Linked DNA regions of Rattus norvegicus. The protein of the gene in region 3 interacts with the protein of the main gene of each other region in a biochemical or structural test. Links are inferred from orthologs where the notes say so. Each region holds a gene or a part of one and is shown on either strand. Other genes may lie near its edges. The genes, in order: Enc1, Gsk3b and Nfe2l2.

Region 1 (3,748 bases), on a different chromosome or scaffold from region 3:
CCTTGCTCACCTGTACGATAAGGGGTTGGGCCAATGATCTATACAGTTCGTCCCTACGTATCTCAAATGCGGAGTAAGAGCCAACTCAAAAGTGGCGTTTTAGCTCCCAGCCAAATGCCCTGGCACAAAGAGTCAGAAATGAGAGTCATAAACAGTTGTGGCTACATGAATTGATTTTTTTTTCGAATACTCTCGAGGCTTTACGGTGTGTGTGTGTGTGTGTGTGTGTGTGTGTGTGTGTGTGTGTGTGTGTGGTGGGGTACTATTTCTTGACTGAGCTCCAAAATCCACCAACCAACAAAACCCAAGAAAGGCCGAGTCTCGAGGTGACTGAGACGCCTTCCCTACCAGGAGGAGGCAGCGTGACTGCTCCTTGGAGGAGTTTGCTTTGAATCTAGCGGCCCTGGCGATTGGTTGCGAAACACGTGGGCCCGCAGGACCCAGCCGGGGTTGCTGTGGCTCCAGCTCCGAGCGAGGCAGAGTCCTGTCGCGGGTTCCTCACCAATTTGGGGTGGGGAAGGCAGACACCCGGCAAGAGCCTGGAGTAGAAGTCTGGCTTCTTGCCAGCAAGTAACCCAAAGTCCACTTGCTCGACCCGCAGTGTCCCCAAGGTCCAAACCAGGGCTTCTTCCCTTGCTCCAGCGGGAACGAGGCTCTGCCTGCGGTTGGGGGATCTAACCCAATGAGTGGCTGTGCTTGCCGGTGCGTGGGACCCCCGGCCTGGCCTTGACTATTCCACTGAGCATTCTTAGGTTCCCCGCACCCTTGAGCACAGGAAAGCTCCCAGGGCTGCTTTCCCCTGCAGTGGACGCCCCAGCCCCCGACCCAGCCTTGAATAGGGTTGACCCGGAGAGGCGAAGGTCCTCGGAGCCCCTCAAACTTATTTTCTTCGCGGTCCCCAGGGGCTGCAGCTGCCCGTAGCTGAGCTAGGGCGTCCGCTTTGTCTCCGTTCACTCCCCGCCCCACTTCCCTGGTTCCTCTCCGGCAAACTCCCCCCGACAGCCCCCACCTCCAGCCCCCAGCTCCTCCCGCTCCAGCCCGCAGCGTGGACGCGCTTCCTCCCTCCTCCCACTAGCGAGTCTCTTTGCATACGCGCCCCCTCCCGGGCGCAACTTATAGCCCGGCGCACGGTGGCCCGGCGCAGTCTGCTCCCGCAGCCTCAGAGCGGTCGGCGCGACGGAGGCGCTGCAGAGACCCAGAGCCGACGCCAGGCGGCCGCCAGCGCTCCCGCCGCAGCCCGGCTCCCTCCCACTGCGTGCAGCCCGCCTTCCTTAGCGGCGCGGCCGCCGCAGGCTCACTCTCCCCTGGCTAGGCGAGCGCCCGCAGACGCTTGGCCCGGCCGGGGCGCCAGGTCCGTAGCTGCTGATCGGGAGACCGAGATCAGCTGCCTGCCGGAGCCGGCCTGAGAGCCACTACCCGGGACGCCATCGCCTCCCTTCCCGGCGCTCTTTTCTCCCCGGCGATCGCCACCGCTTCCTGGAACAGAGACGCCTTTCTTCGGCTCCCTGCGGGTGACCGAGGCAAGAACCCCAGCCGGTTGTGTGCGGAGGCCAGTCGCCACTACTGTAAGTTTGCCCTGCAACCCCAAACCTGTTGCGGGCGCCCGGGTTTCGGGGGTTGGGAGGTCTGCCGCAGGGTGTGCTTGCGAGCACCGAGCCGGCGCCGGCCACCCTGGCTGTGGCTTAAGCCCAGGAGGTGCTCTCGAGGCAGAACTGTGGCTGGTGTGAGACAGCACTGGGAGAGCGACTTGCCTCTCCTCTGCAGTGTAACGCCCGGGCAAGTCTCGGTGTGTGCGAGGAGCCAGGTTGGGGGATGTTATTACCCCGGCTCCCAGCAGCCTTCAGGCAGCCCAGAGCGTGGGATCGGTTCCCCAGGGTGCCTCGTAGCCGGTTCCGGGGGACGGTGGGGGCCATGCCCAGACCTCCTCATGCGGGCACTTGACTTCAGCCAAATGAATGAAAACTGGTTCCTGAAAAACGAGTTTCCTCTCCTGCAAGCTTTTGCCTTTTAGAATGACATTAATTTCAAAGGCTAGGAATTGGTGGGCGGGGTGGAGATGAAACGGTGAACTTGGACTTGTAATTTGGTGTCGCCCTCACTGGCATGTCCAGCGTGTTAAATAGCGTTGCAAGTGTTGTAGGGGACTGTGGCGAAGAGCTATTTTTGTAAACATCTTTATAGTGTGGTTCCATTGTTGTCAATAATGTGAATGCTGGAGAACATCTGCCTGGTGTCTTTTCTCGTGGGATTGAGATCAAGCTTCAAACCAGGAGAGAGACGGAGGTGCTCCCAGTGTTGGAGGCAGACATCATGCGTGTGAACAGGAGTAAATGAGCCGAAGTTACTGAACTAGATGCCCTTTTGATGTTCACAGTAATAGTCTTTTTCTCTGCCTTCTTTGTAGATGCAAGTTAAGTATATATGTGCGTTTGGGGGACCATTTCCTTAGCATTCAGACTTATGTCTCTGGGGGCTTTAAAAAATGTTGGGAAGAACGATTCATTTTATGTTTAAGGTGTGTTTAGAAAAGGTATACATTATTTCTGTGGCTATTTTGATGTTTGCGTGCTTCTAAACCAGGGAGCACATTGTCTCCCTTGGGTCTTCAAGTGCACCTTTTGTTTTAATCATACAGTGGTTGCAAGATGAGAAATTGTGACCGTGACATCCCTTTCCTGTGGGATGGGGTCCAAGGTGATAGGGTAGACAGTGCCTTCTGGTTTTCGGGGGGGGGGGGCTTAGAAAACACAGACGCAGCAGCGTGTTGCACGTCTTGTAGGTCTTCTAGACAAACTGTTTTCTTAAGTATACACCTGGTTGTAGTTGTTTTATACCACCCTGACTCTCTAGCCCTGTGGGATTCCAGCTCAGCCTGCTAGCACTTAGATGCTTGTGTTCCTGGCGTTCCTTTCTTGGCTCGCAGCCCGAGAGGAGGCAGCTTCCATAGAGTAGACAATCATTTAGAGGTTTAGGCTTAAAATCTTCCTCAGAATAACTCAGACTGAACTGCACTCATTTAAATGGCATCACAGTGGTAAAGCAAGCAGGCTGCAAGTTCATGGGCTCTGAACACTTGGTAAGCTTAATGTATTCACAGAGGATGCCTCTAATGGGTCATTCTTCAGAACTTTCTACATGGGGTTAAGCTGGGCTTCGCTTGAGGTAGGATTGGTGCTTGAGATAGGGGTGATGCTTGGGTCCTCCTCATCTTCCTACCTACTGGAAATTTCTGGGTGCTTGCAAAGGTTTTGTAACACTGGAGCTTTGTAACTTTGATGCTTTCTTAGTTCTCTTTGGCCTTGTTTACTCATCGTGAAAGGTAACATTCCAAAAGCAGAGGAAAACAAGTTACCTCACCTAAAGACATGGGCGAATGTCCGGGCAAACACCTACCTTTGTTACTTTTCTCAGTGCCGACTTTCACAGCTGCTGGGGGTGGAGGGATGCAGTTATATAGCTCATGAATCTGGTAAGTCATCTATATTTATTAATAATTCCTGGAGTATAAATAAAAAGGTCTGAATGACTGAAGGAAGAGCAGGGTTTCAGCTGTGCTGTAAGTTCTGGCTGTTTGGGTCAGAAAAGGTAACAGTAGCTAACTACAAGGTCTGTCCCCCTGGCATAAGCAACCTCTGGAATCCTGAGGGGCAGGTTCTTAAGGCTTTATCTTCTGTTAGAGCCCTAGAAGAGTGCTGTCAGAAGGGGGAGTTAATTCCATTTTTCAAGATGGACAGTGGACATAGTCCAC
Region 2 (3,748 bases), on a different chromosome or scaffold from region 3:
TCCAGCTTAGGTTTCGGCTCCACAGCCGAAGCTGGCGGGCGCGGGCTCGGCGAGCGATTCCCAGACGCCTGTTACGCGGGCGGCGGGGCGCTGGGCGGTGTAAGGCTGGGTGGGGGAGGAAGGAGGCGGAGGACGAGTAGGAAGGGGGAGGGGGGAGTGGGGAAGGGCTAGGCGACTGCGCAGACGGCGCGCCTCGCACAGAGCAGCCCCCGACCCGGCCGAATGCGGGCTTGTGTCGCCGCCGTCGCCGCCGCCTGGGCCGAGTGACAAAGGAAGGAAGGCAGCGAGGAGGAGCCGTCCCTGCAGCCGCTGACAGGGCTTCGGGCTCGGGGCACAGCGCGGACACTTCCCGAGCAGCCGCTCAGCAGAGGCGAGGGGCGGAGGCCGGCCGTGCCGGGGCCGCGGACGGGGGAGGGGACCCCGAGGGACGGAAGCGGTTGCCTGGTTCCCATGTCCCCGGCGTATGGGGAGCAGTCAGGGAGCCGCTGCCTGGGGTCTGAAGGGAGCTGCCTCCGCCGCCGCTGCCGCCATGGCCGCTGGATCCAGCCACCGCCTGCAGCTGCTCCTGGCGCAATGAGGAGAGGAGCCGCCGCCGCCACCGCCCGCCACTGACTCGCGACTGCGCTGCCCTCCGATTCACCCGGCCGCCGCCGCCGTCAGACCGCCGGATCCCTCTGCTGCCGGAGCCGCAGCGTTTGCCGTCGCATCTCCGAGCCATCTCCTCCCTCCTTCCCATCCCCCTTCTCTTCAAGCGTGAGGCTCGTGATCCTTCCGCCGCTTCCCTTCTTCATTGACTCGGAAAAAAATCCCCGAGGAAAATATAATACTCAGAGTACTTATTTTCAATCAAGTATTTGCCCTCGTTCACGTGATATATATATATTTTTTAAGGATTCCACTCCACCCTTTTTCTCCTCTCCCAGGAAAGGGAGGTGAAAGAATTATATTTTCCCCCCAGCTCTAAATCATCTATGTGTTAAATATCCGTACCGATCTGTCTTGAAGAAATACATAGCTCCTTTTTTTTTTCTTCTTAAATAGCTATACAAAAGGAGTGAAAGGCCAAGAGAACGAAGTCTTTTTTTTTTTTTTCTTGCGGGAGAACTTAATGCTGCATTTATTATTAACCTAGTACCCTAACATAAAACAAAAGGAAGAAAAGGATTAAGGAAGGAAAAGGTGAATCGAGAAGAGCCATCATGTCGGGGCGACCGAGAACCACCTCCTTTGCGGAGAGCTGCAAGCCAGTGCAGCAGCCTTCAGCTTTTGGTAGCATGAAAGTTAGCAGTGAGTATCGATTTTATTTTACACCCTTTCTCCACCTCACCATTAAGATAAGAAACCTCGAAATACCAGGATCTAAACTAACAGACCTGATAGAACAGTCAGTCAGCCAGTGGTAGTGGAAAAGGGCAAAACCTGTCTTGACTCAAGATGAGGCAGCTCCTTTTTCTCCTCCCATACCCATACCCCCCTCCCCCAGCCTCATTAACCTTGAATTGAGAGAATATTAGTTTTATTTGGCTGATTGGATTCGAAACTTATTTTCTTACGTTCTCCGTGCTGTTGGTAGTCAGTCTTTTCAAGTGCCCCAGTGCCTCCGGGTTAAGCGGTGGAAGCTTTCGCTTGCCCATCCCTTTGAATAAAGAGGACAACGCTTGATTAATAAACCATGATGTACATTTGCCGAGTCCGTGTCTTCTGGAATGAGGGGGTTTATTTTAGTTAGCTCAGGTTATCACGGGTCTGCATTCTAAATAGAGATACTAAATGCCCCAGCCTCCTAATATTTCCTTTTTGCCTGTGTGACTACACAAAGTATTTTTGAATCTGGGGAGGAACTTGCTTGGTAACCCACATTCCCGTTGGAGGCGAGCTAGTATCCATCCCTCACTCTTCTCCGGGCTGGTGGGAGCTGAGAAATATCCCGCAGCAGATGCATCTCTGAGTGCATTGTTTTTAATTTTTAAGTGGTTTAATGTGTTATCTCTTAACCTTCCTGTTTTGACATTACCAATCTGCCACCATATAATTTGTGTAATCAAAAGGTAACTTGGAGATTCAACTTTTGATTGAGGTTGTATTGCCATATTGCCAAATACTAAGTTAAGTGTTGTCACTGACTGTCATTTAAGTTTAATTTTGAAGTGGTGTTGCATTTATTACTTGTTAATTTTTTTTTTAAAGAGTACAAGTGGATACCTTTTTAGGCTGATTTAAAATGTATCTATGAGTATCTGTCAGTCTTTTGCTGGGGAATCTGTGCTGAAAAAAAAAAAAAGTCTGTGTTCTTGAAGTGTTTGGTATACCGAGTATCCAGTGTTCAAATGTATCTATTTGTGGAGATGTTTATGTGGTATTTCATGACAGCTTATTAGAACATAGTTGCAGATTCTGGCCAAAATATCTATGGTATTTTCCTTATTCCTTGAGAAAGAAGAGGGAGGAGATAGATAAAACTGTTTTGTGGCTGAGAGGAGCTGCTGTAACTGAAGAACTAAGATTTTTAAAAAGTTAAAATGCATGTGCTGTTATGTGCAATTGATTAAGCAACTGGGAGTGAGGAATCCTCCAGTTGCACGCAGGATTGTTATGTGCAATTGATTAAGCAACTGGGAGTGAGGAATCCTCCAGCTGCATGCAGGATTGCAGTTCTGTAGGCTTTTGGACCTTGTCTGGAACAGAGAAGTCCAAAGTTGTATCCAGAGCGATAGCTGAGTGGGAGAGATTTTTGCAAGTTAACTTTTTTCTTTCCTTCAGTGAGTGACTAGCCAATTTAGAACGCAGGGCATGTTAAGAGGGAAGCTGATTTCACATCTTTCAGGGAAGGGTCATGCTTTCTAAGCACTTTATGGAGTCATTTGAAAGGAATTTTAAAAAATGCTAGGGTCATTTTCAGTGATGATGAAGTAGACTTCATGGTAACTACTGAAGAGCCTTTCATGGTACTTCAGTATTTGTGCTTTGACTAGTTTAAAAAAAAAAAAAACCCAGTCAATTTTAGACCATTTATGAGGTTTATTTCAGAGATCTGTAATGCCAGACTAAAATACCAAAGTTGGGAATTTCTCTTCTTGTTTCCAGGATTTTCTTTGAAAACAACTTAGCCTTGATAGAGTTTCTTTAGGGTGGAGGAAATCCCAGAGGAATATAGTTTAAAGTGTTTTAATTTTATATTTACCATATCAGTCAACATTAAAAAGATGCTAATTATTACTATTTTTTTTTTAAAAATAACCTTGATATTAAGGACACATAGATGAAAGAGGAATTTGTTAGGGTGCTGGTGTTCAAAAAGGCATGTATGACATTAAGTCCTTGTTCCCAGAGCCTCTGATGTAAAGGCATACACATTCAGAAAAGGGCGAAGGCGATAAGCCTGATAACCGCAGTATTATAAAACGCCAAGTGAACCATTTGTTCAGAGGGACACAGGAAAAGGGTGATGAGGAAGGAGCAGGGAGGTTTCCGCAGAGGTGCTTCTTAAAACAGGTGCTGGCTAAGTCCATGAGCCTGTGGAGACACAAGCAGTGCACTGGGTAGAAGGCAGGCCCAGCCAGTCTGTTCTGTATGGGAGGTAAGGTGGTATATCTCAATTACCCCAGCCTACACGGGAGAACCGGGACGTGGGAGCTGAGGCTTAGAGGAAAGTAAGTTAATAAAGGGCAGAAAAGGCCTGTAGGTTCGGGTGGGGATCTAGGAGCTATCTGTCTGCACTAACTGTGCATTGCTGAACAAGACGTTCTGA
Region 3 (3,748 bases):
TTCCTCCCAATTCAGCCAGCCCAGCACATCCAGACAGACACCAGTGGATCTGTCAGCTACTCCCAGGTACACTTGGTTCTGGTGGGGTCTGAGGAAAACTCGACTGAGAAAGCAGACCATCGGATTTGAGCTCTTGGTCTGCCATTTGTGAGGATATTAAGTTCCCAAGCTTAGCTTCCCGATGAATTGAGTACCTGAGCTCCTTTGAGAATTCTTTCGATGATCAGGATACAATACAGATCATGGGGCATACTTTGTGAGTTACAGAATCATCCTCTTGGGAGGGAGGAGACCATGGCAGACGTTCTGTTGGTAGGAGGAGTGGGCATTGTTCACTGCTGTGGCAGGCGTGACCTGAATTGTATGAGTAACTGATGTAGCTGTGTCAAGTACAATTCCCATGCTATATGTTGATAAACAACTAAAGCTCACAAGGGTTAAATCATTTGCCTAGATCACTCAAAAATGAAGGGAGTTTATTGCCTAGCACAGAGCCCTGGGTTCGGTCCCCTAGCACAGTTTATTAAAGGGACTAATGATTTGAACACAAGTGATCTGGTTTGAATCTGTAAAACAAATTGATTTCTGAAATGAGTTCATAGGTTATTTTATGAACAGCTCTTAATGCTAGTCATGACCCCTGGGTTTAGAACATTTAACAAATGATGTTCCTTTGTGCCTTTCCCTTACTCCAGGTTGCCCACATTCCCAAACAAGATGCCTTGTACTTTGAAGACTGTATGCAGCTTTTGGCAGAGACATTCCCATTTGTAGATGACCATGAGGTATAAAAATGTTTGCTTAATAGCAAAACTGTCTTTTCTGGAATTAGTCCCTTTCATGTGTATCCAATTGAGAGAATAAAAGAAAATTTTAGAAGGAAAAAGTTGATCAAAGAAATTATCAAATAAACTGTATCAGATATCTATAAAACATTTAAAAATAAGACCTGCTAAATACTAAACGACAAGTCCATTTTACTGGATAGCTAGAAACATGAATCAGAATAATTTAACTGGAAAAATGGATATAGGTATATAAAATATTTTGTCTAGTAAAGAGCAACTATTAATCCGTACTTGGATTAAAAATCTTAATCTGTTGTTTGAAGCACTTTGCTAAATATTATGGGTACAAATTAAGTCGTAAGGAATGTTTTTATCCATTTTGAAGTCTACCTTTAAGCACATGGAGTGATATAATAGTGGATAAATGTGGAGACATTGGGGGGGAAGAAATGTTTCATTTTATAAAAGCAACCATTAGTAACCTGAGAGCTGCAGCCCCTGCCGCTGTCTGTTCTACAGGTCTTTGCTCTCACTCATGTAAATACCTTGTCAATCTTAGGTTTCTTCACCTACATTTCAGTCGCTTGCCCTGGATATTCCCAGCCACGTTGAGAGCTCAGTCTTCACCACCCCTGATCAGGCTCAGTCACTCGATAGCTCTCTGGAGACGGCCATGACTGATTTAAGCAGCATACAGCAGGACATGGAGCAAGTTTGGCAGGAGCTATTTTCCATTCCCGAGTTACAGGTGAGAGAGCTCGATGAGTGTGCTGTCCTCTATGGGCCTTTTAAATTAGTCATCCTGGTTATTTATTATTGACATGCTACCTACTCAAAGGAAGAAACTGATGGTGCATTTATATTACTTAGGAGAGCTTCCCAAACTCACTTAACACACAGAGTTTTTAATTAATCAGACTGAATATTTCAGGACAAATTCACTCTAAGACTGAAAGCTAATTTAGAGTTCTGACAACCATAAAATACTTATCTGTTGAAAATGGGAGTTATCGGGATTATTGAAAAGAAGACCTTGGATTTGGGAGTGGGGAACTGATCTAAAGCATTCAATGTGACCTTCTTTTCTAGTGTCTTAATACGGAAAACAAGCAGCAGGCTGAGACTACCACTGTCCCCAGCCCAGAGGCCACACTGACAGAGATGGACAGCAATTACCATTTTTACTCATCGATCCCCTCACTGGAAAAAGAAGTGGACAGCTGTAGTCCACATTTCCTTCATGGTTTTGAGGATTCTTTTAGTAGCATCCTCTCCACGGATGATGCCAGCCAGCTGAACTCCTTAGACTCAAATCCCACCTTGAACACAGATTTCGGTGATGAATTTTACTCTGCTTTCCTAGCAGAGCCCAGTGGCGGTGGCAGCATGCCTTCCTCTGCTGCCATTAGTCAGTCGCTCTCTGAACTTCTGGGCGGGCCCATTGAGGGCTGTGATCTGTCCCTGTGTAAAGCTTTCAACCAGAAGCACACTGAAGGCACGGTGGAGTTCAATGACTCTGACTCCGGCATTTCGCTGAACACAAGTCCCAGCCGAGCATCCCCAGAGCACTCTGTGGAGTCTTCCATTTACGGAGACCCACCGCCTGGGTTCAGTGACTCGGAAATGGAAGAGCTAGACAGTGCCCCTGGAAGTGTCAAACAGAATGGACCTAAAGCACAGCCAACACATTCTTCTGGGGATACAGTACAGCCTCTGTCGCCAGCTCAAGGGCACAGTGCTGCTGTGCACGAATCCCAGTGTGAAAATACAACAAAAAAAGAAGTACCTGTGAGTCCTGGTCATCAAAAAGTCCCATTCACAAAAGACAAACATTCAAGCCGATTAGAGGCTCATCTCACAAGAGATGAGCTTAGGGCAAAAGCTCTCCATATTCCATTCCCTGTTGAAAAAATCATTAATCTCCCTGTTGATGACTTCAATGAAATGATGTCCAAGGAGCAATTCAACGAAGCTCAGCTTGCATTAATTCGAGATATACGCAGGAGAGGGAAGAATAAAGTTGCCGCTCAGAACTGTAGGAAAAGGAAGCTGGAAAACATTGTAGAGCTGGAGCAAGACTTGGGCCACTTAAAAGACGAGAGAGAAAAACTACTCAGAGAAAAGGGAGAAAACGACAGAAACCTCCATCTTCTGAAAAGAAAACTCAGCACTTTGTATCTGGAAGTCTTCAGCATGTTACGTGATGAGGATGGGAAACCTTACTCTCCCAGTGAGTACTCTCTGCAGCAGACCAGAGATGGCAACGTGTTCCTTGTTCCCAAGAGCAAGAAGCCAGATACAAAGAAAAACTAGGTTCGGGAGGATGGAGCCTTTTCTGAGCTAGTGTTTGTTTTGTACGGCTAAAACTTCCTACTGTGATGTGAAATGCAGAAACACTTTATAAGTAACTATGCAGAATTATAGCCAAAGCTAGTGTAGAAATAATATGAAACTTTACAAAGCATTAAAGTCTCAATGTTGAATCAGTTTCATTTTAACTCTCAAGTTAATTTCTTGGGCACCATTTGGGCTAGTTTCTGTGTAAGTGTAAATACTACAGAACTTATTTATACTGTTCTCATTTGTTACAGTCATAGACTTATATGACATCTGGCTAAAAGCAAACTATTGAAAACTAACCAAACCACTATACTTTTTTATATACTGTATGAACAAGAAATGACATTTTTATATTAAATTGTTTAGCTCTGATAAAAATTAAAAGGAGCTAGCACTAATAAAGGAATATCATGACTTAAATTACTCTGGATTGTTTGAGTTAATTCCCAGTAGTGTTTTCCATAGGACAGTTATCCACCTACCACATTTGCTTATTTTACATTTTCAGAATGGTTTTGAAAATACACAAGCGGGTTGGGGATTTAACTCAGTGGTAGAGCGCTTGCCTAGCAAACACAAGGCCCTGGGTTCAGTCCCCAGCTCCCCTCCCCCCCCCCAAA

Evidence for each region.
Region 1: the proteins of Nfe2l2 (region 3) and Enc1 form a complex in vitro, tested with the Homo sapiens proteins (2 studies listed by BioGRID). The link is inferred for Rattus norvegicus from reciprocal best matches to the Homo sapiens genes NFE2L2 and ENC1.
Region 2: of the proteins of Nfe2l2 (region 3) and Gsk3b, one has a biochemical effect on the other in vitro, tested with the Homo sapiens proteins (2 studies listed by BioGRID). The link is inferred for Rattus norvegicus from reciprocal best matches to the Homo sapiens genes NFE2L2 and GSK3B.

Annotation. Positions count from the first base shown.
Region 1 is NC_086020.1:30,283,994-30,287,741, forward strand, and holds the start of Enc1 (ectoderm-neural cortex protein 1), read left to right. Parts: upstream 1-1,280; 5' UTR 1,281-1,565; intron 1,566-2,810; exon of another isoform or gene 2,811-3,076; intron 3,077-3,748. UniProt on the Homo sapiens protein: Actin-binding protein involved in the regulation of neuronal process formation and in differentiation of neural crest cells.
Region 2 is NC_086029.1:76,150,562-76,154,309, reverse strand, and holds the start of Gsk3b (glycogen synthase kinase-3 beta), read left to right. Parts: upstream 1-1,060; 5' UTR 1,061-1,199; coding exon 1,200-1,287; intron 1,288-3,748. UniProt on the Homo sapiens protein: Constitutively active protein kinase that acts as a negative regulator in the hormonal control of glucose homeostasis, Wnt signaling and regulation of transcription factors and microtubules, by phosphorylating and inactivating glycogen synthase (GYS1 or GYS2), EIF2B, CTNNB1/beta-catenin, APC, AXIN1, DPYSL2/CRMP2, JUN, NFATC1/NFATC, MAPT/TAU and MACF1.
Region 3 is NC_086021.1:81,001,332-81,005,079, reverse strand, and holds the end of Nfe2l2 (nuclear factor erythroid 2-related factor 2), read left to right. Parts: coding exon 1-66; intron 67-695; coding exon 696-785; intron 786-1,347; coding exon 1,348-1,536; intron 1,537-1,877; coding exon 1,878-3,101; 3' UTR 3,102-3,551; downstream 3,552-3,748.